Saccharomyces cerevisiae S288C: one gene and its partners. The protein of the gene in region 1 purifies or fractionates together with the protein of each later gene. This does not show direct contact. Each region holds a gene or a part of one and is shown in the gene's direction. Other genes may lie near its edges.

The links.
Region 2: the proteins of CWC22 (region 1) and HSH155 purify together in Saccharomyces cerevisiae (affinity purification with mass spectrometry, with the first as the bait; 2 studies listed by BioGRID). This does not show direct contact.
Region 3: the proteins of CWC22 (region 1) and CLF1 purify together in Saccharomyces cerevisiae (affinity purification with mass spectrometry, with the first as the bait; 3 studies listed by BioGRID). This does not show direct contact.

The regions. Positions count from the first base shown.
Region 1 is NC_001139.9:1,044,843-1,055,776, forward strand, and holds CWC22 (U2-type spliceosomal complex subunit CWC22), read left to right. Parts: upstream 1-1,888; coding exon 1,889-3,622; downstream 3,623-10,934. Other genes in the region: RNH70 (Rnh70p), read right to left, coding at 1-638; CAB4 (putative pantetheine-phosphate adenylyltransferase), read right to left, coding at 802-1,719; SCW4 (putative family 17 glucosidase), read right to left, coding at 3,956-5,116; PXR1 (telomerase inhibitor), read right to left, coding at 6,068-6,883; ATP-binding cassette transporter YOR1, read left to right, coding at 7,982-10,934. UniProt on the Saccharomyces cerevisiae protein: May be involved in pre-mRNA splicing.
Region 2 is NC_001145.3:839,776-850,709, forward strand, and holds HSH155 (U2 snRNP complex subunit HSH155), read left to right. Parts: upstream 1-5,795; coding exon 5,796-8,711; downstream 8,712-10,934. Other genes in the region: ATP-dependent DNA helicase YKU70, read left to right, coding at 1-220; NGL2 (RNA exonuclease), read right to left, coding at 369-1,916; mitochondrial 54S ribosomal protein uL30m MRPL33, read left to right, coding at 2,167-2,427; DSS1 (exoribonuclease II), read right to left, coding at 2,661-5,570; aminodeoxychorismate lyase ABZ2, read left to right, coding at 8,910-10,034; ATP-dependent RNA helicase HAS1, read right to left, coding at 10,299-10,934. UniProt on the Saccharomyces cerevisiae protein: Contacts pre-mRNA on both sides of the branch site early in spliceosome assembly.
Region 3 is NC_001144.5:375,226-386,159, reverse strand, and holds CLF1 (Clf1p), read left to right. Parts: upstream 1-1,625; coding exon 1,626-3,689; downstream 3,690-10,934. Other genes in the region: ESCRT-I subunit protein SRN2, read right to left, coding at 1-626; TML25 (palmitoyl-(protein) hydrolase), read left to right, coding at 752-1,435; mRNA splicing protein MSL5, read right to left, coding at 3,908-5,338; cleavage polyadenylation factor subunit CFT2, read right to left, coding at 5,596-8,175; AVL9 (Avl9p), read left to right, coding at 8,922-10,934. UniProt on the Saccharomyces cerevisiae protein: Involved in pre-mRNA splicing and cell cycle progression. Required for the spliceosome assembly by promoting the functional integration of the U4/U6.U5 tri-snRNP particle into the U1-, U2-dependent pre-spliceosome.

The DNA.
Region 1 (10,934 bases):
ACCCAGTCTGTATCAAAATTGGTGTCTCCAGAATCCAGTGGGTAATCGTTTGCCACTAACTGTTGTTCGGATAGAACCAAATCGTTAATAGTAATTTTCTTCTTCTTTTGTAACTCTTTCAATTTATTTATTTTCTCCATTTTGGACAATCCAACATTAATAAATGAATTGTAGGGCGAAAAGAGCGTCATCTTGGAACCAGGTGCCATCACGGGAAATGTATGAAACGTGGAGGCAATTTCTCCAGGAATATATTTGAAGTTATCATCACTGATTTCATTAAAGGTATTTTTTCCGTTCTCAAAATCATCTGGTTGTAAACCTGGAATGAACAGAACTATCATTTTCTGTAAACTTGACCTGTTACAAATATCAATCCATTTGGGAGAGTTGTTTTCAGCCTGCAACAAGTATTGAGTCATGTCTCTTACATCCTTTATACCAATACCTTTTTCAACCACAGACTTTAGCAATGTGCATGTCATAGGCTTTGCCTTTTTTTTCTTCTTATTCTTATTCACTTCCGATACCACATTTGTATGATCATCCTCTTGTACAGAAGTCTTGGATAACCTTCTTTTCTTTGATCCCAAAGCCAAATCACTCACGAAGTTAGTGTCAGGCCCTTCTACTTGCATGTTTGCCTGAGTATAGTCTATTATTGTTTTCTTCCTCAGTCATCCTTGGTATTGCCATCGAGCAAAAATCTTCCCTCCATTTCTATTGTGTCCTCGCGCCACTTATAAAATACTAACAATAAAATAATAGTGAACTACAACAATAAAATATACAAAAATATGTTTATACGCAAGGGTTTTGTGGAGTGCACGTTGGCGAAGCAGAGGACTTAAGTAGGCGTCTGATTTCCGTGCTGCTTAACTTCTCGCTCCAGCCGTCTTCCTCCCTTCCTCCAAGTACATTAACCACATGTACTGCCAATGGGCTCATGCCTTTTTCAATCCTAGTCTTATTCACAGTCTCTGCCCCACTGACGGTTTCTCTACTCACAACTAAACATTCTATCTCGGGTACTTTCCCTGTGGGGCCGCACACGTCCCTTAAGGGAACTAGTTCTACGGAGAGATCCGGTTTTAACAACTTGATGAATTGATGTACGTGCCTGCATCGTGTATCATAAGGTTCAATCAACTCTTTGTATTTCTTGTTTTGCAAGAGCTCATCGCACGTAATTCCACAAATTAACCTTTGTGACGTGATGAATGTAGAGACGCTCAACAATATTTTATGTCCATCGTGAATGTGGTCGAACGTTCCGCCCAATGCGGTGACATGAAATTTGTTAGCATCTTTGGGACCTTCTATCTCTTCCATTATATTATCGTGTAATGCATAATGTTCTATACTATGGTATTGTCCTTGTCCCAACTCTAGCTTCCAAGTTTCAAAAGTGGATTCCTGTGGCAATAAAACCACTTTCCATTGCAAATTACTCTCGACGAAATGAATATTGTTGAATATGATGTTGATTCCGCTGTTGATCATTCCATAGCCCAAAAGGACATCCCTGGTAATACTGTACATCTTCCCTAGCGCAGAATCCAACTGGAATGAGGTTTTGAATTCAGGTACAATCACGATGTCTAGTTGACTTTGACATTCTCTTAAGAACGGAATAGTTTGCCCTATAATCCTCTGCAAAGTAGCACTAGGCGGTGTATAAGGAAGAACAATCAAAACTCTGGAATTTTCCTCAACCATCTTACACTTCTTTACTTTAGATTTTTAGGTTTAATCACGTCTCTTTTTATGACGGTCCTTATTTTTATCTTTTTCCATTACGTACTCTTGAAAAATTATATTACACTGATATTTATTTTGGCATTGTGAGTAAGAAACCTAAAAAGGAATAAAAAGGCTACAAACCAGCATGTCTACCGCTACCATACAGGATGAAGACATTAAATTTCAGAGAGAAAACTGGGAAATGATAAGGTCACACGTTTCACCCATAATATCCAATTTAACAATGGACAACTTACAGGAATCGCACAGAGACTTATTTCAAGTCAATATACTTATTGGCCGCAACATAATTTGTAAAAATGTTGTGGATTTTACTCTGAACAAACAGAATGGCAGGCTAATCCCTGCTTTATCCGCTTTGATTGCCTTGCTAAATTCTGATATTCCAGATATTGGAGAAACTTTAGCAAAAGAACTAATGTTAATGTTCGTGCAGCAATTCAATCGCAAAGATTACGTGTCCTGCGGAAATATCCTTCAATGTCTGTCCATTTTATTTCTTTATGATGTAATTCATGAAATCGTGATCTTACAGATTCTATTGCTACTCCTTGAAAAGAATTCTTTACGACTGGTCATTGCCGTGATGAAAATATGTGGCTGGAAACTTGCACTTGTCAGTAAGAAAACCCATGATATGATTTGGGAGAAGTTAAGATATATTTTGCAAACACAGGAGTTATCTAGTACACTACGTGAGTCGTTAGAGACTCTGTTTGAAATAAGGCAAAAAGATTATAAATCTGGGTCTCAAGGTCTGTTTATATTGGACCCAACTAGTTACACAGTTCATACGCACTCCTATATTGTTAGTGATGAGGATGAAGCCAACAAAGAACTGGGAAATTTTGAAAAGTGTGAAAATTTCAATGAACTAACCATGGCGTTTGATACGCTACGACAGAAGCTGCTGATAAATAATACGTCCGACACAAATGAAGGTAGTAACAGTCAATTACAAATCTATGACATGACATCTACCAATGATGTCGAGTTTAAAAAGAAGATTTATTTGGTTCTGAAAAGTTCATTATCAGGTGACGAAGCGGCTCACAAATTGCTAAAATTAAAGATTGCGAACAATTTGAAAAAAAGCGTGGTAGATATAATCATCAAATCTAGTTTGCAGGAATCTACATTCTCTAAATTTTATTCTATTTTGTCCGAACGTATGATAACGTTCCACAGGAGTTGGCAGACAGCTTACAATGAAACTTTTGAGCAGAATTATACACAAGATATCGAAGATTATGAAACTGACCAACTGCGAATCTTAGGTAAGTTTTGGGGACACTTAATATCTTATGAATTTCTTCCAATGGACTGTCTTAAGATAATTAAGTTAACTGAGGAAGAATCGTGTCCTCAAGGAAGAATTTTCATCAAATTTTTATTTCAAGAGCTCGTAAATGAGCTCGGATTAGATGAGCTGCAATTAAGGCTAAACTCCAGCAAGCTTGACGGAATGTTTCCGCTGGAAGGAGACGCCGAACATATAAGATACTCCATAAATTTCTTTACTGCCATAGGATTGGGCCTGCTCACAGAGGACATGAGAAGCCGGTTGACAATTATTCAAGAAGTTGAGGATGCAGAGGAAGAAGAAAAAAAATTGAGAGAAGAGGAGGAACTTGAAAAGTTACGGAAGAAGGCCAGAGAGTCACAACCAACCCAAGGGCCAAAAATTCACGAATCCAGGTTATTTTTACAGAAGGACACCAGAGAAAATAGTAGATCAAGATCGCCATTCACAGTGGAAACAAGAAAACGTGCTAGATCCAGAACTCCACCAAGAGGATCGAGAAACCATCGTAACAGATCCAGGACTCCGCCTGCAAGAAGGCAACGGCATAGATGAAGAGCCCGGCCAAACAAACATTACACATGTAATCGTACATATTTACATAGAACCGTACACGCTTTTAGCCAAAAAAAAAAGAAAGGTAGAATATAAAATAAAAACTCGTATTTCGTATTAAGACAAATATACAGAAATACAAATGAGATCATAAACGAACTAAAATAGGAAAATGAAAAAAAAAAAAAAAGATTAGCGAAGGCAAACCAGAAAGCAGTCCTTTGATATAACAGAGAAAAAGAAGATTATCAAAGCCTTAATTTAAAGTTAAAAATATTGGGTATCGTTTTTTAAATCAAGATTTTTTTTGTTTTTTTTTACAATTGAGTAGACTTATTCATTGGATAGAATACCCCAGTATTTTTCAACACCGTAAGCACCGTCGGCCTTCCAGTAGTCGTTGAAGGCAGTGAATAAGAAGGTATCAGCACCACAGGAGCTGGTAATGGCGGAAACAGCGTCCTTTTGATTTTCCTTAGATGGAACAGCAACACCGTAAGTCTCACCCTTTGATGGCCAACCAGACTCAGTGATAACAACATTCTTCTTACCATCACAAGCAGTCCAGACTCTTTGGATTTGTTCTAGTAACCATTTACCGGAGTCTTGGGCAACTGTGTTCTTGTCAAAGTAAGCATGGGCATTAACAGCCATGTAGTCGGAGTAGTCACACAATTCAGGGTTGTTGATCACAGCAATAAAAGTATCAACAGAAACAACTGGACCAGTGTAACCGGCAGCCTTCAAGGCAGATCTACCAGAGTCAATGTATTGACCGACTTGGGATGGGGTAGCTTGGTTACCGTTAACCAATTCGTTACCAATGGAAACAGTGGTGACATCGTCCCAAGAACCGTAAGATTCAACAGCAGACTTGATGGTGTTGACACCGTCTTGGATTTGGTCAACGTAGTAAATACCTAAAAAGACTTTTTGGTTCGAAGCCTTAGCCTTGAAAACATTTTCAACTTGGTTACAGTCGGTACCGTACAATCTAATGACTGGGAAGTCAGTCAATTGAGCTAAATCGGAAGCAACTTCCGAAGCGGATTTACAAGCACCGCTGGACTCGTATGGGGTATAAGTGATACCTCTGACACCAGAGGCAAAGCTGCTGACGTCTTCGCCGGAAGAACTAGAGGAAGAAGCTTGGGAGGAAGAGGAAGATTGAGTAGATGTAGCAGCAGAGCTGGAGGCTGGAGATGCGGCAGCAGAAACTTGTGAGTTGTTCTCAGAAGAGGAAGCAGCAGCGGTAGCTACAGAAGCAGCAGACGATGTTGTACTGGTAGCGGCAGCTGGAGCGGAGTTGACAACAGCATTTTCTTCCAAAGCAGCAACTGGAGTTGAAGCGGCACCATTAACAATGATAGTGGTTTGTTTTTGAACAGTGGTAGTGACCACAGCACGCTTGTCCTTGTGTTCGTGGTTAGCGGGAGCAGCAAGAGTAGCAGCAGATAAAAGAGAGGCAGAAGCAATTAGGTTAGAGAGACGCATATTTTTCTAGTTTGCTTTTCGGTATGGCTTGCTAGTATATAAACGATTGTAGATGTAAAAGAATGACTTAGTTGGATTTAGTTAGATATCTAGCTGGACCTTTGTGTAAACACTATTAAAAGAATAGAATAAGGGCTAAAAGAACTACTAAACAGAAAACAATTATGACAGAAGATAAAGAATACATATCTATTAGTTTTATAAAACAGAGATCTTCTCCTCGAGGAATGGGAGAAAACAGAAAAAAAAAAACAAAAACAACGGTGCCGTTTTTGAAACAACACCACAAGAGAAAATTTCTGAAAAAAATGCGCGTGAAAAGGAATCATGTGCCTATTTTCCTCATTTGGAGAGGCTAAACGAAAAGGGAAAAGAGGTGCGTTGCGCGTGTTTCTAGGGAGAAGATCCTATTGCAGCAGGGTGTCGCGCGAAAAGCGGTGCCTACAAATTACAAAACCCTCTGGGAAATGACCGTGCAGGGTCGTTTGTGGATGCATCTCGATTAGGCCGGGCTAGGCATCTTGATTCTTTCCCAAAATGGAGTTAACGAGCTCGATTGGGCGTTAATTGATGGATTTGGTTACACTGATACGAATTGAGCCCGTTTATCATTCATGCAGCGGCTTTATGGAGGGTGTGGAAGACGTTAGCGATGTTATGCTTTCCACTTGCTCTACTATCTTCCATCAAACCCACCTAATAAAGCTGAAGGTTTTGCAGGGGCAGAAGTCGTGGCGCAATAAGTTCAATAAATACTTATAATATTACTTACTAGTTTAATCATGTATGTAAAAACTCGTTGCGGTATGCTGTCGTACTGGCACACATTTTTTTTTTTCATTTTTATTTGCTTTTTTCTTTGGCACCGGGGAAGAATTTTTCCCCACTCTATATATCTTGCTGCGTGTGCAGACTGGCCAGCTGCTCACACAATGAAACGCAATGGAATGTTTAGTCGTTTGTTATCATAAAGATCTCATTCAGTGCCTTGGAGTCCATCAACGCGGCCCTCTTTTGTTTTATCCATTTGGAGCGCACCGATAGTCTTGTGTTTACCGCATCGGGGATATTGGATGCAGATTCACTAGATTTTAATTTTGACGTCTTTTTCGTTTCTTTGGTCTTTTCCGCCCTTTTTTCCTTCTTCAATCTCTTCTCTTCCTTTTTATGTTTCTTATGCTCCTTTTTGTCCTTCTTGTCTTTTTTCTTGTCTTTCTTATGCTTTTTGTGCTTCTTGTGCTTCTTTTTATCACTGTCTTTATCCTCTTTGTCGTCATCATCTTCATCTTCGCTATCGTCTCCTTCCCTCTTTCGTTTCTTCGCGTTGGAGTAATTTCTTAACTTGTGAGTCTTTGGATCCCACGTGCTTGCTAAAACTTCACCCTTCACAAAATGGATACCCCATTTTCCGTCAATAATCTTCTGCTTTCTCTGCGTGTCCAATTCCTCTGATATTTTGCTTTCCTTTCCGTTCAGCCTACCAAGAATTCGCTGGAAGACATCCAACCCTGCGCATTCACCATTATCAAACTCGTCTTTTTTGTCTTTACGTTTTAATTTAGCACCGAGCCCAACGTTGTCGTCCTTAATTGACACTTTGATATGCGAAGTGTTCGAATTCATGGGGGATAACCCCAGACCCATACCGGGTTTCCATCCAAACTTTTCTAGAAATTGGTGCCCGAATCTCGAGGTGTCGTTACTCCATGCCGTATTTCTGGGGTCTAAACCAAACCGCTGTTTGGTTCTTGTAGCTGCCAAACCCATTCTGCTTCTTTGTTTAATGGTGTAAGCTGCCTATATGTTACTATTGAGTACTCATCTCATCGCTTCTTTCAGAACAAAATTTTTCATATTTTTTTTTTTTCCTTTTCTTTTTTTTTTTTTCTTTGACTGTTACCCGGTTGTTTATATTTGTAGGAAAACAACAACGACAGAGAAAATATCCTTGCAGTGGCGGCTAATTTGTTAGTTGACTGATTGATCACCTTCACTTATTAAAGTAAAATCAGCATACAAGAGATCAGAAGGGAGAAAGAGAGTGGGCAAGGCTATAGTACTTTGAAGAAAGCATCTTTGAACCGACCAGTTCTCTTCACAAGCAAAATCTATATGACTAACCGCAAGGGGCAAAGGGTTGTGAGAGGGCCCGTCTTTCTCCCGCTATAGCCGTCACTGGTATCCCTCCTGGCTGCACAAATCCGATAGAAAGGGGAAGAAGGAAGTTTAGTGCCACCTTATAGCACGCAGTTACTGTTTACGCTAAGGAGAGGCATACTCAATTTTTATTAGTCGCCTTCTTTAGTTGCTGCGTTTTTATCCACGGTTCTCTACTAAATGCTTGCGATAAGCGCTTCTATTTTCCTCCCCACCGCGAGGCGGAAATGGCACATTTTTTTTCTTTTGCTTCTGTGCTTTTGTTGTAATTTTTGGCATGTGCTATTGTATGAAGATAACGCGTGGTTCCGTGGAAATAGCCGGAAATTTTGCCGGGAATATGACGGACATGATTTAACACCCGTGGAAATGAAAAAAGCCAAGGTAAGAAAGTGGCAATATTTTTCCTACAAATAGATCTGCTGTCCCTTAAATGATTACCATACATATATATATTTATTACACATCTGTCAGAGGTAGCTAGCGAAGGTGTCACTGAAATATTTTTTGTTCCAGTTAGTATAAATACGGAGGTAGAACAGCTCTCCGCGTGTATATCTTTTTTTGCGCTATACAAGAACAGGAAGAACGCATTTCCATACCTTTTTCTCCTTACAGGTGCCCTCTGAGTAGTGTCACGAACGAGGAAAAAGATTAATATTACTGTTTTTATATTCAAAAAGAGTAAAGCCGTTGCTATATACGAATATGACGATTACCGTGGGGGATGCAGTTTCGGAGACGGAGCTGGAAAACAAAAGTCAAAACGTGGTACTATCTCCCAAGGCATCTGCTTCTTCAGACATAAGCACAGATGTTGATAAGGACACATCGTCTTCTTGGGATGACAAATCTTTGCTGCCTACAGGTGAATATATTGTGGACAGAAATAAGCCCCAAACCTACTTGAATAGCGATGATATCGAAAAAGTGACAGAATCTGATATTTTCCCTCAGAAACGTCTGTTTTCATTCTTGCACTCTAAGAAAATTCCAGAAGTACCACAAACCGATGACGAGAGGAAGATATATCCTCTGTTCCATACAAATATTATCTCTAACATGTTTTTTTGGTGGGTTCTACCCATCCTGCGAGTTGGTTATAAGAGAACGATACAGCCGAACGATCTCTTCAAAATGGATCCGAGGATGTCTATAGAGACCCTTTATGACGACTTTGAAAAAAACATGATTTACTATTTTGAGAAGACGAGGAAAAAATACCGTAAAAGACATCCAGAAGCGACAGAAGAAGAGGTTATGGAAAATGCCAAACTACCTAAACATACAGTTCTGAGAGCTTTATTATTCACTTTTAAGAAACAGTACTTCATGTCGATAGTGTTTGCAATTCTCGCTAATTGTACATCCGGTTTTAACCCCATGATTACCAAGAGGCTAATTGAGTTTGTCGAAGAAAAGGCTATTTTTCATAGCATGCATGTTAACAAAGGTATTGGTTACGCTATTGGTGCATGTTTGATGATGTTCGTTAACGGGTTGACGTTCAACCATTTCTTTCATACATCCCAACTGACTGGTGTGCAAGCTAAGTCTATTCTTACTAAAGCTGCCATGAAGAAAATGTTTAATGCATCTAATTATGCGAGACATTGTTTTCCTAACGGTAAAGTGACTTCTTTTGTAACAACAGATCTCGCTAGAATTGAATTTGCCTTATCTTTTCAGCCGTTTTTGGCTGGGTTCCCTGCAATTTTGGCTATTTGCATTGTTTTATTGATCGTTAACCTTGGACCCATTGCCTTAGTTGGGATTGGTATTTTTTTCGGTGGGTTTTTCATATCCTTATTTGCATTTAAGTTAATTCTGGGCTTTAGAATTGCTGCGAACATCTTCACTGATGCTAGAGTTACCATGATGAGAGAAGTGCTGAATAATATAAAAATGATTAAATATTATACGTGGGAGGATGCGTATGAAAAAAATATTCAAGATATTAGGACCAAAGAGATTTCTAAAGTTAGAAAAATGCAACTATCAAGAAATTTCTTGATTGCTATGGCCATGTCTTTGCCTAGTATTGCTTCATTGGTCACTTTCCTTGCAATGTACAAAGTTAATAAAGGAGGCAGGCAACCTGGTAATATTTTTGCCTCTTTATCTTTATTTCAGGTCTTGAGTTTGCAAATGTTTTTCTTACCTATTGCTATTGGTACTGGAATTGACATGATCATTGGATTGGGCCGTTTGCAAAGCTTATTGGAGGCTCCAGAAGATGATCCAAATCAGATGATTGAAATGAAGCCTTCTCCTGGCTTTGATCCAAAATTGGCTTTAAAAATGACACATTGCTCATTTGAGTGGGAAGATTATGAATTAAACGACGCTATTGAAGAAGCAAAAGGAGAAGCTAAAGATGAAGGTAAAAAGAACAAAAAAAAGCGTAAGGATACATGGGGTAAGCCATCTGCAAGTACTAATAAGGCGAAAAGATTGGACAATATGTTGAAAGACAGAGACGGCCCGGAAGATTTAGAAAAAACTTCGTTTAGGGGTTTCAAGGACTTGAACTTCGATATTAAAAAGGGCGAATTTATTATGATTACGGGACCTATTGGTACTGGTAAATCTTCATTATTGAATGCGATGGCAGGATCAATGAGAAAAACTGATGGTAAGGTTGAAGTCAACGGGGACTTATTAATGTGTGGTTATCCATGGATTCAAAATGCATCTGTAAGAGATAACATCATATTCGGTTCACCATTCAATAAAGAAAAGTATGATGAAGTAGTTCGTGTTTGCTCTTTGAAAGCTGATCTGGATATTTTACCGGCAGGCGATATGACCGAAATTGGGGAACGTGGTATTACTTTATCTGGTGGTCAAAAGGCACGTATCAATTTAGCCAGGTCTGTTTATAAGAAGAAGGATATTTATCTATTCGACGATGTCCTAAGTGCTGTCGATTCTCGTGTTGGTAAACACATCATGGATGAATGTCTAACCGGAATGCTTGCTAATAAAACCAGAATTTTAGCAACGCATCAATTGTCACTGATTGAGAGAGCTTCTAGAGTCATCGTTTTAGGTACTGATGGCCAAGTCGATATTGGTACTGTTGATGAGCTAAAAGCTCGTAATCAAACTTTGATAAATCTTTTACAATTCTCTTCTCAAAATTCGGAGAAAGAGGATGAAGAACAGGAAGCGGTTGTTGCCGGTGAATTGGGACAACTAAAATATGAATCAGAGGTAAAGGAATTGACTGAACTGAAGAAAAAGGCTACAGAAATGTCACAAACTGCAAATAGTGGTAAAATTGTAGCGGATGGTCATACTAGTAGTAAAGAAGAAAGAGCAGTCAATAGTATCAGTCTGAAAATATACCGTGAATACATTAAAGCTGCAGTAGGTAAGTGGGGTTTTATCGCACTACCGTTGTATGCAATTTTAGTCGTTGGAACCACATTCTGCTCACTTTTTTCTTCCGTTTGGTTATCTTACTGGACTGAGAATAAATTCAAAAACAGACCACCCAGTTTTTATATGGGTCTTTACTCCTTCTTTGTGTTTGCTGCTTTCATATTCATGAATGGCCAGTTCACCATACTTTGCGCAATGGGTATTATGGCATCGAAATGGTTAAATTTGAGGGCTGTGAAAAGAATTTTACACACTCCAATGTCATACATAGATA
Region 2 (10,934 bases), on another chromosome or scaffold:
TAAAAAAGACAGAATGATGCGTGAGGACGATTCTTTAAGGAAACTATATTATATACGAAATAAAATTTTAGAATCTGAGAAGTCAGAAGATCCAATCATCCAAAGGCTAAATAAATATGTTAAAATCTGGAATATGTTCTACAAAAAATTTAACGATGATAACATTTCGATAAAAGAAGAAAAGAAGCCCTTTGATAAAAAGCCGAAATTCAATATATAAAGACGATTGAAATCCTTCATATCTATAACGTTACATACAATATTTGGTAGGGTAGGGTATTTGATGTAATATTTATTATTAAGAACTTTTGTCGTGCTAAACGTTGTACTGTACAACTATTAGCAAGATATTTATGCACGACAGTAATCTATAGTTGTAACTCTAAATCACACACCATAGACAAATGATCACTTGCATATTCTCCAACATGTGGTTGTCCATGCTTTGTCATTTCATTACCGGGCGGCATTCTCAAAAAACCTCTGCATTTAACTTTATTTTCTTTTTCAAAATCGCCAAGGGTTTCCACTTCCTGACAATTACTTTGTGGGTCCCATTTCTTTACATAAAATAGATAGTCTAATAAACCACGCCAAGTGTTTGCCCAATTTGAAATTTCAGGCTCACCTCTATCATTATCAAGACCTGCATTTTCTGGATGAACATTCTTATACCCAACAGAGTATAGTGAAATAGCCCTCATATCCAATGAGTTATGGAGTTGTGCCATTTTATCTACGAGTTCAGACTGTTCTTCATTAGCATGAAATTTTTCAGGAACGGGGCTCTCAGGTTGATCTTTACCATATTTTTCAATATTCCCGCCTTCTTCGTCATCTGCACCTTCTTCGCCATCACGGACCTTGGAAAACTTATATGAAGTGCTGCACCCAATGACGGTCTTTGCCCTGTTTCTATAGTGCACTGGTTTGGATGTCATAGATAAATATGGTGTGTCGAACGGCTGGGAATTAAAATCACCACAGAAAAAAGGAAACCAATGAGATAAATCCCCATCATTTTCGTTCTGTAAAACATTCACACGATGCATGAATTCCTTCATCTTTTTTAAAACAATATAGCATTGTCTTGTTCGTTCATAAGTACCAAATGGATGCCAAAATAGATGCGTAGTGCCGATCAAGATACCGCATTTTTTAGACGATTTTTTACCCAAATTCGACAGTACTTTCTCAGAAAACTTCAAGGCTAAGACTAATCCCACGTTGTTTGTCGTTGTTCTAGTGGAAATGCTTTCTGAACTTTCTTTATCATAGTCGATTAGCATTTTGTCAACCTGGTGAAATAATTCTCTCCTCCACATTATCGCGACACCATGGTTTTTTGTAGCATTTCTATAATATTGTCCATCGTATCCCAATTTACTGAATTCATCTTTCCAAAAGCTTTGAAACTGAATATGATCAATCTCTTGCAAACAAATGACATCGGAATTATAATATTTAAACTCGTTTAAGAGAACTTTAGAACGCCTGTACCATTTTAAAGCGTCACCACTATCCGGGAACAGCTTTCTGCGGATTAGAGCTTGCGCCAAGCAATTATAAGTCATTAGCTTGAATCTAAATCCAGTTACTGGCTCTGCCTCATGTAGAGATAGGAAAGGTCTTCTGATAAAATGCAGCTCTGGCGGGCAGTCCGGATCAACACCTTGAGCCAACATTGCATCTCTTTTAGCCTTTCTCATAACTTCCCTTTCGGCACGAACCTTAGCGATATGTTCTGGGGTCACTATGGGCTTCGATTTTTTACCTTTCTTGCCCTTCTTTTTATGTTGAAGTAACGAATCATCATTGGTTTGATGTTTTGCATCTTTTACAGATTTATTAATTTCTACTTCTTGGTCGGGCGCAACATCTGGGGCAACCACTTTGACTTCTTTGTCTTGTGTCATATTTACTTAATACTCTTAACTACAATTAAGAAGCTATAAGGAGACTACAATCTCATCTTCTTGCAACACTACTTTTCCTTTCCTCTTGCTTTAGTGCAACCATTTTTTGAAAAATGAATGGTCTTTCTGCACGAAATATCTCTCGAAGAGCTTTTCTAGATATTAAGGATAAAGTATATCATCCCAAAAGTTAGGTGATGGAATCAATATTGATGGACCAGCTAAAACACGTTGAAAGCAGATATCAGGAATGGTGTTTTACAAAGTCACGTTGAGTAGGTCGCTTATCGGTGTGCCACACACAACGAAGAGCATTGTCAAAAGTTTGGGTTTAGGTAAAAGAGGGTCCATAGTCTACAAAAAAGTAAACCCGGCCATAGCTGGCTCCCTAGCTAAAGTAAAAGAGTTAGTCAAAGTAGAAGTAACAGAACATGAATTAACACCATCGCAGCAACGAGAGTTGAGAAAGTCAAACCCTGGGTTTATAGTGGAGAAGAGAACCATCGACTGAAACAGCGAAAATAAGGCAACTGGATTTCCTTTCTTCTTGATATTCCTGACTTATATATGTATATAGTATTATTTTTTCCTGCATAGGCACATATGTTAATAGTAATTTATGCAATTTTTGATACAAAGAAATCAATACACTATCTCGATTTCATATTTTATGTATGTATATATTTACAAGAAGAAAATTATGCATGGTCTATTGAATTTTATATTTGGAAAAAGAGTCCCTTTTTATAGCTTTTCCAACTCTAACATTCCTTCTAAACAGTCAATTTTTGAAATTTTACAATTCTTCACGATATCTCCAATCATCGGATAATGCATAGAACTTGGATGCAATTTTAATGTTCCTCTAGCGAACGATAAGTCTGGAAAAACACATCCAGTAAATCCGTTCTGCGGTACTGATGTTACCATTACATCGAAAGTCCTTTCTGGCTCTAGTTTGGTTAGCTTTTTTAAATAATTCAGTGTCCAGTACGTCGACGAATTACGGCTAGCCCTTTTTAAAATATCCGCTCGAGATTGAATTGGCCAGATCAAACTGTCGATTTGTGTTTGATTAAAACATAGAGGCTTTTTCTGCAAATGACGGTGAATTTGTAGATGATTTATCAAGTCTGGAAAACGACGAAGAGGGGATGTTACTGTCAAATATTGTTTAGCTCCAATCATTTCATGTCTAAAAGGTCGACCTGTATAAAAACTCGAGTTCAACAATGAAGAAAGCTTAACGATATCTTTTAGCTTGGGAAAAATTCCTTTTTTTGTACTTGTTATCATAGAATCATACTGTTGTTGTGCTACTTCGCCCAGTGGTAACTGTTTATAACATCTGAACACACCACCGATTTTGTTCTCCGCAAAATATCTACCCGTTAAAGTATTCGCCAAGATCATCATTTCTGAAACCAAAATGGTAGACAGCGTCTCCTCTTGATCCGAAAATGTTACCTCAGTCAGTTCTCCTTCTGAATCGGCGTTTAGCATCACTAGGCCCTTATTAAAGCCCTCCCCGAAAATAACAGCATTACTGTTTTTTATACGTTGTTCTCTCAATAATTTGGAAATCATGGACAAACTTTCCAAATCCTTTTTGACAGGTGATGCTTCGCTATTGGGTGTACCGAGTATCCTGTCAACATCTTCATAAGTGGCCTTTGGGAAGTTGGACACAATGCCTTTCCGGATTTTAAAACTGTCATACATAATTTCAATTGATTTTCCACTGCATTTAGAAGTGATTTTAACATCAACAGAGAAGGATATAGTTTTCGTCCTTTGTCCTTGTTTCCCCAAATCTGATAAGTGACAAATAGATTGAGGTAACATAGGAACAACCGTATCTGGTAAATATGTGGTAAATGATCTTTTCAAGGCAACATTTAGGATATCTGTACTTATACCCTCAATATCAACATTAGTGCTTTCCGGAAACATAGAAGTTGGATCCGCAATATGAATATATAAAGTGTACAGTCCATCTCTACCATAGTTTTTCACCGACACGCCGTCATCAATCTCATGCGCAGTTTCAGAGTCTATACAAAAAACCCTAAGATCGCCAAAATCGTACCTATCGTCATCAGTGCCGGATTTTTTCCATTGCAATTCTTCTATATTAGTTAAGTCGTAGAGTTTTTGTTGCCATTTCACTAACTTCGAGGAAGCAGGTAATGCTAAATCCATGTTAAGTAACAATGGATTGGGTATTGAGTTGGGTGTTATCTCATTGATTAAATCTTGACATATATCTCTTGTGATGTCACAATCCTTATAGCGTTCTATCTTTCTGAATATTTTTGAGATCAAAGCTACTATAATTCCGTTATTGTGAAAATTCCCAGCAGCAAAATCTTTCAATAATTGGATCACAGAAGGATATAAAGCTGATATATCGCGATATTTCCTTTCATTCACCAATTTTACAAACTTATTGACCTCTCTATAACTGTTGGCTTCTAGCTTCTCTATCACCTGCGCATAATATAAATGTTGTGATTTTAAGGGAATAATCGTTACTGATATAGGCGACAGCAACGCTGTATTCAGATGGATTTCCCCCCAAAGGTTCGATTCCTGTTGTTGCATAATCGCCCAGTACGTGGAAACAAAGGTAGGTGAATTTATTGGTATATCGTTTACAGTGTGATAGTTATTAACTAAACTAGTTAAGTAATTTATTCCATTTTTATCGTCCAAGGCTTTATTTAAATCCAATTTCTGAACTAATCCGACTAGGGTAAAAAAAGGAATCTGCCATGGACCCATATAATTTTGTAATGATCTGTGGAGTAACTGTAATTTTTTGGTAGTAATGGGCAAATCTTTCCAGGCCAACTTTGAAATTTGGGCTGGATACCTACTTGTTATTAGCTGCCTTGCTACAATAGGCAAAATATTCGTTTGGTTAGAAAAGTTCTTAACGGTTCCAATTGGCAAATGTTTGTGATGGCTCTCAGGCTGTATAAGTGAATGGATTCCAGCAGGTAATTTGTGAGGAATCCTCAATAACACCCGGTTTTTGGTCGCAAAGCACATAGTTCCATCAATAGTAACAAAAGTGTATCGAGGATCCATAGTGCTACTTGGAAGACTTACACACATCGCCAATTCATTGGGTCTCATTTTTAAAAGAACAAAGTCACCAACATTTAAGGGACTTTCCATTAGCTGAACAGGTTGAAATTCCATTGGGTTTGGAGCTTTCAGTTTTGTTATTAATTGAAAATCTGAATTTATTAACTTGTAAAGCGGAATTTTTGGTTTTGTTAAAGACCTCCAGGAGTTTACGTACCAATCTTCGGAAGGTTTAACATACCTATCTTTATAACGTTGGTTAAATTCCTGTTTAATTTGAGGCAGTTGTTTTAATTCAATATCAGGCTCTAATCCTTTTGTTCGTTGCAGAAAGTCTTTGTTTATTGATTCTATATCTTTCTCCGGTCCAACCGAACGGTCTACAACTGTCTCTGTAGCTTGATCATTATCTAGCTCTCGTGTGTGATCTAGTTCTACTTTTGCTTGCTGCTTACTCTTACTTCGCTGTCGTTTGCCTCTGGTAGTTACTCTGAAGCAAGGTGTGTAGGAATGAAAGCTCCTTGCAATTAGAAGAACATGTACTTTCCGCCTAACTACCATCACCTGTCTTTATTTATTCCGCTGACAGATATGCACAACCAATTATCGTCTCTTGAAAGCTTTTTAGACGTGATTGCTGTTATTTGGCACGTTGTTAGTATTTAAGCTTATTCGGGTTTGCATTGATATTTGCCCGAGCAGAAATCTCCTTCTCGATGAGTTAGAACTGAAACATCTCTTCAATTACTTATACATAATAAACATAGAAAGCCAGGACCTGTCATCATGAGTCATCCGATTCAATTTGTAAACGCTAATAATAGCGATAAGAGCCACCAATTAGGCGGTCAATATTCTATTCCTCAGGATTTGAGGGAAAACCTGCAGAAAGAAGCTGCACGTATTGGTGAGAACGAAAAAGATGTGCTACAGGAAAAAATGGAAACTAGGACAGTGCAAAATCGAGAGGATTCATACCACAAAAGAAGGTTTGATATGAAGTTTGAGCCGGATTCCGATACACAAACTGTTACGTCTTCAGAAAATACCCAAGACGCTGTCGTGCCAAGGAAAAGAAAATCTCGTTGGGATGTAAAAGGGTACGAGCCACCTGATGAATCTTCAACAGCGGTCAAAGAAAACTCTGATAGTGCTTTGGTTAATGTAGAAGGAATCCATGATTTGATGTTTTTTAAACCTTCTGACCATAAATATTTCGCCGACGTTATATCCAAAAAACCCATAGATGAGTTAAATAAGGATGAAAAGAAAGAAAGAACCCTGTCGATGTTACTTCTGAAAATAAAAAATGGCAATACAGCGAGTAGGAGGACTTCTATGCGGATTTTAACCGATAAAGCTGTTACATTTGGTCCAGAAATGATATTTAACCGCTTATTGCCCATATTACTAGACAGAAGTTTGGAAGACCAGGAAAGACATCTAATGATCAAGACCATAGATCGCGTCCTTTACCAGCTAGGAGATTTAACAAAACCTTACGTTCACAAAATACTTGTAGTAGCTGCCCCATTGCTAATAGATGAAGATCCAATGGTTCGTTCAACAGGCCAGGAGATAATCACCAATCTGTCTACAGTCGCTGGCCTAAAAACCATTCTAACAGTAATGAGACCTGATATTGAGAATGAGGATGAGTATGTTAGAAATGTAACTTCAAGAGCGGCGGCTGTGGTGGCAAAAGCCCTTGGTGTTAATCAATTGCTTCCTTTCATCAATGCAGCATGCCACTCACGGAAGTCTTGGAAAGCAAGGCATACTGGCATAAAAATTGTGCAGCAAATAGGTATACTTTTGGGAATAGGTGTCTTGAATCATCTTACTGGGCTGATGAGTTGTATCAAAGACTGCCTAATGGATGATCACGTTCCGGTGCGAATTGTTACAGCACATACTTTATCAACACTAGCAGAAAATTCTTATCCATATGGTATCGAAGTTTTCAACGTTGTACTGGAGCCATTATGGAAGGGTATAAGAAGTCATCGTGGTAAAGTGCTATCTTCTTTTTTAAAAGCTGTTGGATCTATGATCCCATTGATGGACCCAGAGTATGCCGGTTATTATACCACAGAAGCAATGAGAATAATTAGACGTGAATTCGACTCTCCCGATGATGAAATGAAAAAGACCATTCTTTTAGTATTACAAAAATGTAGCGCTGTAGAATCCATAACGCCAAAATTTCTGAGAGAAGAAATCGCGCCAGAATTCTTTCAAAAATTTTGGGTCAGACGAGTGGCATTGGATAGACCATTAAACAAAGTTGTTACATATACTACTGTTACATTAGCAAAGAAATTAGGTTGTTCTTATACCATTGATAAATTATTAACACCATTGAGAGATGAAGCTGAGCCGTTCAGAACAATGGCTGTCCATGCTGTTACTAGAACAGTAAACTTATTAGGGACAGCAGATTTAGATGAGAGATTAGAAACGAGGCTTATTGATGCGCTCTTGATAGCATTTCAAGAACAAACAAATAGTGATTCTATAATCTTTAAAGGGTTTGGGGCAGTGACGGTGTCACTTGACATCCGTATGAAACCGTTTTTAGCACCCATTGTGAGTACGATTTTAAATCATTTAAAGCATAAAACTCCCTTGGTTCGTCAACATGCAGCAGATCTATGTGCCATACTAATACCAGTCATCAAGAACTGTCACGAATTCGAAATGTTGAATAAATTGAACATTATATTGTATGAATCCTTAGGCGAAGTATATCCAGAGGTATTAGGTTCTATAATCAACGCTATGTACTGTATTACTAGCGTAATGGATTTGGATAAACTACAACCTCCTATTAATCAAATTTTACCAACCTTAACTCCAATTTTAAGAAACAAGCATAGAAAAGTCGAAGTAAACACTATCAAATTTGTTGGACTTATTGGTAAATTAGCACCTACCTATGCACCTCCTAAAGAATGGATGAGAATATGTTTTGAACTATTAGAACTTTTGAAAAGTACAAATAAAGAAATAAGAAGATCAGCAAATGCCACGTTTGGATTCATTGCTGAAGCAATTGGACCTCACGATGTTCTTGTTGCGTTATTGAACAATTTAAAGGTTCAAGAACGTCAGTTACGTGTATGCACGGCTGTTGCTATCGGTATCGTTGCTAAAGTGTGTGGTCCTTACAACGTGCTGCCAGTAATCATGAATGAATACACAACACCAGAGACTAATGTTCAAAACGGTGTTCTCAAGGCCATGTCATTCATGTTTGAGTACATTGGTAACATGTCTAAGGATTACATATACTTCATAACACCATTATTAGAAGATGCACTCACCGATAGGGATTTAGTTCATCGTCAGACAGCGTCGAACGTAATAACCCACTTAGCTTTAAACTGTTCAGGTACAGGTCACGAAGATGCCTTCATTCATTTAATGAATCTTCTAATACCCAATATTTTTGAAACTTCACCACATGCTATTATGCGTATTTTAGAAGGTTTGGAGGCACTGAGTCAAGCTCTTGGCCCTGGACTATTCATGAACTACATATGGGCAGGATTGTTCCATCCAGCGAAGAATGTAAGGAAAGCATTTTGGAGGGTGTATAATAACATGTACGTAATGTACCAGGACGCCATGGTACCTTTTTACCCCGTTACACCAGACAACAATGAAGAATATATAGAAGAACTGGATTTAGTTCTGTGAATATATATAGAGCATATAAATAACCACAACTTGTAAGAATATTTTACTTGACACACCTATATCATCACGTCACGATGCCTTCATAGATTATGATGAAATATAAACAGAACCTGCTATTGGAAAAAAAAGGGCAGGAAAAAATTTTGTGAAAGTGAGTAAAAGAAAGATGAAGAGCGAGACATGGATAATAAGAAATAGATGTCACTAATGGACAATTGGAAGACTGATATGGAAAGTTACGATGAAGGAGGCCTAGTTGCTAATCCGAACTTCGAGGTTCTGGCCACTTTCAGGTACGACCCTGGTTTTGCACGCCAGTCAGCGTCAAAGAAAGAGATCTTTGAAACTCCAGACCCTCGATTAGGTTTGAGAGACGAAGATATTAGGCAGCAGATAATTAATGAGGATTACTCAAGTTATTTACGAGTAAGGGAGGTTAATTCCGGCGGTGACCTTCTCGAAAATATTCAGCATCCTGATGCTTGGAAGCATGATTGCAAGACCATTGTGTGCCAGCGTGTAGAAGATATGCTACAAGTCATTTATGAACGATTTTTTTTATTAGATGAACAATACCAAAGAATAAGAATAGCATTATCATACTTTAAAATTGACTTCAGCACGTCTCTGAATGATTTATTGAAGTTATTGGTTGAAAACTTGATTAATTGTAAAGAAGGAAATTCAGAGTATCACGAAAAAATTCAAAAAATGATCAACGAAAGGCAATGCTATAAAATGCGGGTACTTGTCTCTAAGACAGGAGATATACGAATTGAGGCAATTCCAATGCCTATGGAGCCTATCCTAAAATTAACAACCGATTATGACAGTGTTTCCACATACTTCATCAAAACGATGCTCAATGGATTTTTAATTGATAGCACAATAAATTGGGATGTTGTTGTTTCATCTGAACCATTGAACGCATCAGCTTTCACCAGTTTTAAAACCACTTCAAGAGATCATTACGCTAGGGCGAGAGTTCGCATGCAAACTGCTATAAATAACTTAAGAGGTTCAGAACCTACTTCTTCTGTCTCGCAATGCGAAATTTTATTTTCCAACAAATCTGGCCTGCTGATGGAAGGTTCAATAACAAACGTGGCTGTAATTCAAAAAGATCCTAACGGTTCTAAAAAGTATGTGACACCAAGATTAGCAACTGGATGTTTGTGCGGAACAATGCGTCATTATTTATTGCGGCTCGGCCTTATTGAAGAGGGAGATATAGATATAGGAAGCCTTACCGTTGGCAACGAAGTTTTGCTTTTCAATGGCGTCATGGGATGCATAAAGGGAACAGTGAAGACAAAATATTGAGCAGACGACAGATTTTCATATCAATGAAGTTTTTTTACAATAGTTTACAAATCATGATTTTACATACTCAAATATGTGCAGGTTGATACAGACAACGTACGTAGAAGACAACAAACAGAAAACAGCGGTTTATACATTTATTTAAATGACATACAGTGGAGAAGCAGAGAAAGGAAAAGGAGTGCGATGAGAACAGAAGATGAATACTTCGGTTGTGTTGGTTCCACGTACACATTAATAGCATTAAAAATTGATCCTCTGAAATTACTTATGAGTTTTACGTCTTTTGGTATTTGGCGTTTTTCCACTGGCACCAATTGTAATGTTAACCTTTGGAGGGACTGGAAAACCGTAAGACTTTGCTACTTTGGCTAAATCCAGCTTATCGATTTGATAGACAGTTTTCAAAGAGTGGGAAGCGTACGCTTGTAAATAAGATCTATAACCATCCTTGGCTGTTTGATGTAGATAATAGTTGGATTTAATTAATTTTTCTAATTGTGATTGAACGTTTGCAATTTTGTTTTCCGGGAATTCGTACTCATTTAATGGGACCTTGGAAGCCTTTAGATATCTTAAAAACCCTAATTCATTAGGTGTTAAAAACATTAAAGATTTACCCTTACCTTTAGTGCCTCTTGCGGTTCTTCCGACTCTATGAATATAATCTCTTGGATCATCAGGAGGGTCGAATTGAATGATCCAGTCCACAGCAGGGATATCTAGCCCTCTAGCTGCGACATCTGTACAAATCAAGATACCTCTTTCCGCATTACAGAATTCGAAAAATGTATTTGTTCTCTTTTGTTGTTTTTGCTTACCGTGTAATTCGAGGACTGGCAAATCAATATAGTTCAATAATTCAGCGTAATATTTCACAGAGTTACAAGATGATAAAAA
Region 3 (10,934 bases), on another chromosome or scaffold:
CCTTGTTTATCCCAGGTCGCCAGTTTCTCTCTCCTCAAGTGATATTGTGTTCGTATGTCCAGATAATTTTTGATGAACTGATCCAGGTCATCGGCTGAGTCAATGGACCTTGTGGTAGTTTCTAGCTGTGAACTCTCCTCATCAAGTTTCTTTGTGTTTTGTTCTAATTTCTTTTTTAATGCTATGTCACCATATTTTTTTGAAAATTCGGAATGGTAATCTTGCCAGCTAGCTACATATTTGGATTCTAAAATCCTACAGTTTTCTAATAAGGCTTGGACCTTATCTTTTTGCTCATGTAAATCTTCAAAATTTTCTTCCAATTGTTTAAATTGATCTCTGAATGCATGAATCTTTCCAGCAAAGTCCGTTAAGGGATTGAATTTTGTGACGTATAACTCTAATTGGTGTCTGTGGGTTTGAATTAGATCGATTATCTCCTTTGATGATAAAAGGTTAATTCCTTCAGGTAAGGGAATATTTTTGCTTTTTTCGTTTACTTTTTCTGGTAAACCCGGAGATGGTACCACATCCATTTCTGCTCTGATAATATCTAATCTGCTTATATTGAGCCCCTTATTTTTCCTTCGTTGTTTTATCCTTAGTTTTGTAGCCTTTACTTTCATATTTCCTTCTTTTCAGAACGCCTATTCTAGGGAAAAATGGCTTCTGTATGAAATAAAAATGTTAGCAAAAGAGAACGAAAATAAGAACACATACACTATATTTGCCCATTTGAGCGCTATCGAATATGAATGGACTTAGAGTTGCAGCAAAAATTCAGCCAGCACGCCAAACTATCATATTCTTGCATGGATTAGGTGATACAGGTTCGGGATGGGGATTTTTAGCTCAGTATTTACAACAGAGAGACCCTGCCGCTTTCCAGCATACTAATTTTGTTTTTCCTAATGCTCCAGAGCTTCATGTGACAGCAAACGGCGGTGCATTGATGCCTGCTTGGTTTGACATCTTGGAATGGGATCCTAGTTTTTCCAAAGTTGACAGTGACGGTTTTATGAATTCTTTGAATTCCATAGAAAAGACGGTTAAGCAAGAAATTGATAAAGGAATTAAACCGGAGCAGATTATTATCGGAGGTTTCTCTCAGGGTGCCGCATTAGCTCTCGCAACATCAGTTACTTTACCATGGAAAATCGGTGGTATAGTAGCTCTGTCGGGATTTTGTTCCATCCCAGGAATTCTGAAACAACATAAGAATGGCATTAATGTAAAGACACCAATTTTTCATGGGCATGGTGACATGGATCCAGTAGTTCCTATTGGACTAGGTATAAAGGCAAAACAGTTCTATCAAGATAGCTGTGAGATACAAAATTATGAATTTAAAGTATACAAAGGTATGGCCCATTCTACAGTTCCAGATGAATTAGAAGACTTGGCTTCATTTATCAAGAAGAGCTTATCATCATAGCTCTTTTCCTAATATTGCGAGTTCAATTTAACCGCTATTATACTTGGTTAAATAATTTATATACATCCGTAAGACGCGATAGAAAATTAAAAACCTTGGTGCCAAATAGTTGGGGTGATGAGACTCATTGATTATGCAAGTTCATAATAGATAGACAAACTTGAGCTAAAAGTACTCTACTATTGCCAGCATGGACACTTTAGAGCCAACAGCCGTTGATACGCATGTTTCTGCGGAGCAGATTCTGCGGGATGTGTACAAGAAGGGGCAAAAAGCAAGAGGATCGACTAATATTGATATATTAGACTTGGAGGAACTTCGAGAGTATCAACGAAGGAAGAGAACAGAATATGAGGGTTATTTGAAGAGAAACCGACTGGATATGGGACAATGGATTCGTTATGCGCAATTCGAAATCGAACAACACGACATGAGGCGCGCCAGATCTATCTTTGAAAGAGCATTATTAGTAGATAGTTCATTCATCCCCCTTTGGATACGATACATTGATGCTGAGCTGAAAGTCAAATGTATTAACCATGCTAGGAATCTTATGAACAGAGCTATTAGTACGTTGCCCAGAGTAGACAAGTTATGGTACAAGTATCTCATTGTCGAAGAGTCGTTAAACAACGTTGAAATTGTACGATCACTGTACACCAAATGGTGCTCCTTGGAGCCAGGGGTTAATGCATGGAATTCTTTCGTGGATTTTGAAATAAGACAGAAAAACTGGAACGGTGTAAGAGAGATTTACTCAAAATACGTCATGGCTCACCCGCAAATGCAGACATGGCTAAAGTGGGTGAGGTTTGAAAATAGACATGGTAATACTGAATTTACGAGAAGTGTGTATTCTTTAGCGATAGACACAGTAGCTAACCTCCAAAATTTACAGATTTGGTCTGATATGGAGGTTGCAAAATTAGTAAATTCATTTGCTCATTGGGAAGCTGCGCAGCAAGAATACGAAAGATCTAGTGCTCTTTATCAAATTGCTATAGAAAAATGGCCCTCCAATCAATTGCTCAAGGCAGGACTGTTGGATTTTGAAAAGCAGTTTGGTGACATAAACTCAATAGAAGAAACTATTAGCTATAAAAGGAAAATGGAGTATGAAACAATATTGAGTAATAACGCCTATGATTATGACACCTGGTGGCTGTACTTGGATCTCATTTCAGAAAGTTTCCCCAAACAAATAATGCAAACTTTCGAGAAAGCTATTGTGGACAGCCGACCAAAAGAACTATCAAAAAATGTTCAGTGGAAAAGGTATATTTATCTGTGGATGAGATATATATGCTATGTTGAGTTAGAATTGGAAAATTCGCTTTTAGAAGAAGAACTTTTTCAGAGGTTAATTGACGACATCATCCCTCATAAACATTTCACTTTTTCCAAAATATGGCTAATGTATGCTAAATTTCTGATACGACATGATGATGTACCGAAGGCGAGAAAAATTTTGGGTAAAGCAATCGGTTTATGTCCTAAGGCTAAAACTTTCAAAGGATATATCGAGTTGGAAGTGAAGTTGAAGGAATTTGATCGTGTGAGAAAAATATATGAGAAATTTATTGAATTTCAGCCCTCTGATCTACAAATTTGGTCACAATATGGAGAACTAGAAGAAAATTTAGGAGATTGGGATAGAGTAAGAGGTATATATACAATTGCACTAGATGAAAATTCTGATTTCTTAACAAAGGAGGCTAAAATTGTATTACTTCAAAAATACATAACATTTGAGACAGAATCACAAGAATTTGAAAAGGCAAGGAAGCTTTATAGAAGATATTTGGAGCTCAACCAATATTCCCCCCAAAGCTGGATCGAATTCGCCATGTATCAAACTTCAACCCCGACGGAGCAACAACTATTAGATTTAGCAAAACTGCAAAGCGAAAATGTGGATGAAGACATAGAGTTTGAAATTACCGATGAGAATAAATTGGAGGCAAGAAAAGTTTTTGAAGAGGCGATAGTTTTTTTCAAGGAGAAGGATGATAAACAAGGGAGACTGTCTATTTTGGAAGCGCTAAAAGACTATGAAGAAACTTACGGTACTGAACTCGATCAAGAAACCGTCAAGAAAAGATTCCCTAAAGTAATCAAAAAAGTGAGGTTACAGAACGGTGTGGAAGAAGAATTCGTGGATTACATTTTTCCTGATGATATCGATGATGACAAGCCAAAACCATCAAAGTTCTTGGAACTAGCCAAAAAATGGAAACAGGAACAGGCACTTTGAATAAAGGTAAGGGTATCGTGAAATAATATTTTTGTCATTGTAGTTCAGGCCGTAGAAACTAAACAGTAGTAGAATAAGCTAGTAAGTAAATTAAATATCAAAAGTTAATAATAACCAGGAAGGCAAAAAACCAACAAAAAAAGGAACTATGCAAAATAGAGACTACATACCTTCAACACAAATAAAAAAAAATGCAGATATTGTATAATGGGAGTGTATTATAATCCGGGAGGCCCTTGCAGTCCCGGAGGTGTAGGTTTGTTAATGTCATTGCCCATGTTATTAGAAAACCCTGGAGGACCGCTTAGGCCAGGAGGAGGTGCAATTGAGGATTGTACCGTAGTCATACCGGGAGGTGGAGGTAGCGAAAATTTCGGTTGTTCCGACTCTGGAGGGCTTTGTAATGGGGGAGGGGCGATTCCTGGAACTCCGGAACTAAAGCTACTTGATGTTAGGCCGGGAGGGGGTGTAGGCGTCACGTTTTGAGCTTGCCTCGAAATATGTGACGCAGGAGGTGAAGGTGATGGTGCATAACGTGAAGAAGCCGGAAATTTTAAAGGAGGTTCCGTCGAGTTATTGTCATAACGAGATCTTTTTGGTGCTTGAATTGGATGAGTATTGCTATTATAGTGTACGTCATTGCTCTGTATTGGCGCAGAATTATTTACCGTGGCGTTTCTGTCAAAACGGCTCATTCTTTGAGACGATGAGTTACAGTCTCTACTGAAATGTCCAGTTTGTCCACATATTTTGCAAACAATGCCCTGTATATTTGGGATTTTTCTGTTTGGACAATCGTACCTTTTATGATCTTTTAAACCACAGATTGGACAGGGCCTGTTATCTTCTCTTAAAGTACCATTAAGTTCCGCCAATTCTCTCAGTTGTCCTCGTTTCAAGTCATTCTGGCCTTCCGGAGATGTCACCGCTTTGATAACAATGTTTTGACAAACTTTTATACCTTTTTGGATCTTGTCTTCCGAGTCTGCGATAATTAAACAGTGCAAGGGGTCCTCAAAGTTCATGGCGCCTGGAGGTAAGTCACTTGCATTCTTACCTTCTTTGACTGAACCTCTTCCTCTAATTGCAATCTTACAATTCGAATCTTCTTGCAGCTTTCTTAACGTACGTCCACGAGGACCTAATAATAAACCAACAAAATTGACATCAGGATACTGATCCACCGGGATATAATACTTGTCCTGAAATTTGGTAGGTCTCTTGTAATCATCCGGAGGAACGAAGTAAGGGATGGTCTTTAGGGCTATCTCAACAAGTTTAATACGTTCATCCTCTAGTTTCTTTCTATACCTCTGCTCACGGGTATTCGTTCTTTTACCTTGGGCATCATAAACTGGTGGCGGAGAAGGTGACCTATTTTTCCTGGAGGGGGGCACAAAATCGTTCGTACGCAGTTTGATGGTAATTTCTTGAATCCTAAACATGACTTGATAGGAGTATATTTGTTCCCTAGTTAGGGCCCCACTAATTTTTGATGGAAGAGAATTGAATCGATGGACATCGCTTTCTACCGTGTTCTTTCTCCATAACGAAAGGTTGACGTTTGGAGGAACCTTTGCTTTTTTTTCTTCCATACTGCTTCCTTTTCTATTTTCAAAGTATCTAGAGTTAATCCTTCTAAAACTCATCAACAATTTCCTTTTATTGTGGGATAGAATAGCACTTGTAGCAAATTAGGGAAAAAATTCTGCTTTGAAAATTTCCGCTTGGTGAAATTCAGCAGAAAAAGAAAGAAATCAATAATGCTAATATCGTTAAAAGTGAGTTAGAATGTTATATACAGATAATAGCGGTGCGAGATACACAGCAATTTATGTCACATACTGTTTTGTGGGCAGTCCACGAACGTAAATTGAACCTTTTATTTGTGCTGTATACAAGAAGGCTAGATTTTTGCTAACATATCCGTAACCAATTTTTTGACAGTATCAAAAAGTTCGGAAGGCGTACCATCGATAATAGTTTCTGCATCATTGATTTTGCGGACTGCTACTTTTTCATTTATGACAAGTGTACCTTCCCCTTTAAATTCTGCAATGTAGTTTTTCTCTGTGAGAAGTTTCTTTAATTGTGCTAACCTAACGTCACCGATTGACAACGCACCTGTTTTATGGCTCCTAGATGAACCGTGTAATGGTTTCAAGACTAGTTTACTCCTTGACGCTGTTTTTTGATGATTGTTCACTTGCGGTAGGCTCTCCTTAACCAGCCTGCCAACGACAGTGGCAACTGTATAACTATCACTGATACGTTGCCATTTCAAAAGGTTATCGAGGTTGGAGTCAATGGAGATATCCAGGGTCTTTATTGTTGTACTGAATTCCACTATCTTATTTAATGGCATGTTGACCACTTCAATATTTTTCTTGATAAGTTTTGCCGTAATTTCTTCATTTTGAATCTGTTTGGGGGCGGAAAGAACTATTTTTCTAGATTTTAGCGATGGCCATATAATAGATGCAGACCTTTGATCAACTAAACTCTGTAAATTTAGGATTACTACGGAGCATTTCAATTGGACATTTACAGTTGAGATTGTTCTTTTGGAGAGCGTTTTGTCTATCTTTAAATAGTCAAGGTTATCAAAATTTTCTGCTTCTCCGGTTCCAGAAAATCCCGAGTAACGAGAAGCACGGTGTTTGCTCCTTTTGCTAATTGGATCACTCATATTATAACCATCTTCTTCTTCATTTTTGTTATCTTCTTCGTTTACAGGGCTCGTGGTTTTAGCACCGTCTTTGAGAGGTCTTTTCCTGCTATTTTGATTAACATTGTCAGAATCATCAGGTAAAAACATCGTAAAATCTACAACAGTACCATAATCATCTTTCTTGATTTTAGCGGGGTTAAATGGGAACATTTTATGTTTTGAAGCGGCACTTGGTTGAATTATAATGTCTACAGGAACTTCCGTATTTTTTTTCGCTGCTGATTTCTCAGAGTTATCCTTGAGTAAATTCAACAAATTGTCGTTTTCTTCCTCTTCATCATCATCTTCGTCACCCCCCATAATATGATCAATCGGTGGTACTCCATTGACGTTTTCCACTAAAATGTCTTGATTTCTCATTGCCCTCTCTCCGTTGGTATCATCTATGATTGCGTTGCCGTTAGCCAGTTTCTTAGACTCTCTTTTCACCAGTAGAATTTTCTTATTTCTGTCCCTTTTCTTTTCTTTAAGCTGTACTTTAAACGCCTCTGTTTCCTCTTTACTCAAGGGTTCTTCTTTTATGGTGTCTATTGAAATGTAATTATCGCAGAGGAATGATTTACCATCTTCAGGAAATGTTTTCCAATTTCTTTCATCTTGTTCAACAATTTCTAGTATCTTGTCTAAAGACGACGCACATTCAAAGCTCGGCTTGGTCAAAATCAAGGTTGTCTTCTCAGAATTACCAACTTTAATTATCACTTCATTAATCAAAGCTCCTACCTCAGATACGAAGCAAATCTTTGAACCAGGATATTTACTCAATTCGTTTGGTGCGATGATTTTGATCCGTGATCCAATTTCAAATGGAGAAGTATTATTTCTGTTTTCCCATGTCTTAAGTAGTGAAGGGGACAGCCACTCGAGCATTGATTTGGCATATGTTAGAGTTCTTCCTCTCGCGTAAGACAGAATAAGTACAGGTACTTGTGTGTGCGCATTGATCTTTGTGCTTTCAAATAATAACTCATGAACTTGTGTGAACAGGTCCAGAAATTTGCCACTCATATCTACCGGTATTATAACGGACCCATCCGAACTCAAACCTTTCTTTAATGTATCTTTAAAGATTTTTGAACGTTTTTTAAACGGTTGAGAGGAGCCAAACCTGTCCAAAGTAGTAATTATTGCAGAGGGCCTCATCAAAGTTGATAAGGGCTTACCAGTGGCGTCCAATATAGAAGCAGCATTTAGTATGTTATCTCTAGTGTGGTTCCATCGCTTTGCATAAACCAATTTCTCTGAGTATGTGCTAATGCACCAAATAGAACCACCTGGACACACACCAGCATTGTACGCCAGTAAAGTCAATCCATCGTATCTTGATCGTAGATCTACCAATTGCGAGTACTTCAAAGGTACAATATGATCAAAAGATATCTCAATATCTTCAAGATCGAGTTTATTTGTGTCATATGGACCTATAACACCTGCAGATGCATATGAATCTATGGTGGAAACTCTCCCTAAGTTGATAACAGGAAGAGTTGCGTAAACTTGAATTCTGGATATGAAATGCGAGGTAAAATTATAGTACAGAAGGGAATGAGCACCTAAACATTCAATTGTTGGTTGTGATAGTATTATTACATCAATTTCCGGTATCACTTTTTCCCAGTACTTGATGCATTGCTCATACGATACTTTAGATGGATTCCAACCGGGATCGATTAACAAGGTGACGTTATCAAATCGTACCACTGAACCAACGGTGGTTCCTGATCCATCATCACAGCAATTGTATTTATAAGTCATATATATTCGTCGCCCTCAATGTATGTTCTTCATTTCATCTTCTGTGTTATTTCTTTAGCGAACAAATATTCGTGAATTCGATGTTAAAACTGCAGATTGTTTAAGAAAAGCGGGAAAACGCCGCCGAAAGAAAAAATCTTTTTCTAGTAATATTTCTTATTACAACAAACATTGAACATTGAATGACTTCAATCCGTAAGGGTTCATTGCTTGTATAGTTGGACTATATGTCATAGGTGAATCATTATTTCTTGAACTCAGGTTCGCTTTACTCAGTCTAGTGCACGTGAGATTACACTGCAAAAACTCCATGAACCAAAGAACTTACCTTAGACTTGCATTTGGGAGCAAAGTTTACACTAATTAATGCTTTTTATTTTTATTGTCCCAACCTTCTAATGTGTGGATTATTAATGGGGTAAGTTGAACTTCTATTACTTCCATTGAACGTTTGAGAAGTATCATTGCTTAGGAGGTTTGCCTAGCAAAAATAGCCGCTGAAATGATGCTTGTCCGTCGGGTAATGATTATACGAACGGGTAACGGAAGATATGGAAGCTAACCCAACAGAGAGCAGTCAATAATGGATCTTGCATAAGAATGTACGGCCCGATCAAGCATCCTTACAGCTCATTCACGAAGTTTCCTTTTCAAGAAAATTTTGAAGCCTTAAAGGAATCCAAGCAGGAAGACCATATCAAACTAACATATACATTCTGCCTCGCTGCAACCTTGTTGTCAAAATAATGGATGAACACGAGGAAGCAGTCATCTTCGGTATCTGCCTTGTGGACTTTCATCACAAAAGAGGCCCTGAAATAGAATACTGGTATGGCTTACCTGAGGGCACCCAAAGTGCAGAACTATGGCCAAATTTACCCTTCCAGGCCCTTCCTGATGGTTCTCACTCGTTTGAAGAAACATTTACTTATTTCACATTACTATATGATGAAAGAAGACAAAGGAGCCCTCCCAACGGGGCAACTGATCTGAGTGATGATAGCATCAATGACAACACGACTTTGTTTGCCATATCTTGCTCGAGACAGATAAAGAGTGATGAATTGGTCACTAAAGATAAGGATGTAACACGATCTACTGTACAGAAGGCAATTGTAGTCATCTCAAGGCAACCAATCTTCGGTCAAATCAAGGACAAACTTAGTATTGTGACTAATGCTTTTTTCTTGCAGCATGATTTTGGGGACAGGAAGATAATCCAGTCTTTATACGAAAACCTGAAGTCGATTTACACGCCTGCATCATTGGTCAGAAATGCCGAAAATCGTCTTTATATTGGGTTATGTCTGAGAAAGATACTACATGATTTTAAGAGAAACGCTTTAGTCTTATTGAAAGCAATTATGCTTGAAAAAAAAATTATAGTTTACGGCAACGACGTGGAAGCTTTGTGTAATTTACAGTTCGGTCTGATCAGCTTAATTCCGGACTTGATGTCAAATTTGCAGGATTCTGGCAGTCCTCAGTTGTTTCAGGATATTTCGAAATTAAATGTTGTGGACTCGTTTAAATCAAGCAATCGAGAATCAGTGTTGAGATTCTTAGGTTTTCCATTACCGATTTTCGAAAAAGGTGGACTATTTTCACCCTATACTCCACTGCAGCAAATGAATGACATACGGTCAGAACGTACTTTGTTTTTTATGATTGGAAGTTCCAACACATTGCTTGCTGAACAAAAGGAGGAACTGTGCCACATATTTGTCAATACAGACAATTCCACTGTAGATATTCTGGACAAGACTTTGAACCCCGTCCTCCAATTGTCAAGTCATGATAAAAAATGGATTGAATCTATATCTGGAATTGTATCAGACACATGGAACGAAAATGATGATGAAACTCCAAAAAACTCTCAATTTGAAGGCAGTGAGGATTTCATTAGGTGGCAATTCGAGGACTATTTAACGGGGTTACTTTCCAGTGTTAAATTAAGTGATTATTTGGACCTGCATAAAGAGAATGATCAAGCTTTGAAGACTATACCTGAGGATATGCTAAATTCCAATCCCGTTCATTTATTCAATTTGAATTGGGTTCAGAGTTGGAAAGAGACTCAAAATTTTCTGATATTCAACTCAAGAACAGATGATAGATTGTTCGACTTGTTTCCTCCGAAGCATATATATAACGGTGCCGACACTCTGTCTCTATTACAGCAACGATTTTTGGCCACATTTCATAATTTAAAAAGAAGCTCTAGCAACTCTTCAAGCAATAAAAATGGTCATCAAAGCGAGGAGGATATCAAAGACCAGGAAAGCATCGAGTCAAAAAAGTCTGTTTCCCAAATTTCTGTAAATCCTGGAAAGAATACAGACAAGCCAGCAGCCAACTTATGGAATTCATGGAAGGAATATTTCAATAAACCAAAGAATACTGCTAATGAAGATGTTACTGAATCCACAGAAGATCTCAAAAACAGAAGTAAAACATCGAACGCGATACAGAAAGCTATGATGGGCTTGGGTTTACATTATAAACCTGATGCGGAGACAGATCAACAAAGTGAAGAGGTGGGAAATAGTGAGGACAATGAAGATGATGATACTGATGAGGACTCTGAGGATGATGATGATGATGGTGGTGATGACGATGATAGTGAGGACGATGACGATGACGATGACGGTGAGGGCGATGAAAATGGCGATGACGGTGAGGGCGATGAAAATGGCGATGACGGTGAGGGCGATGAAAATGGCGATAAGGAAGACAGTCAAGATTTTAGCAATGGTTTT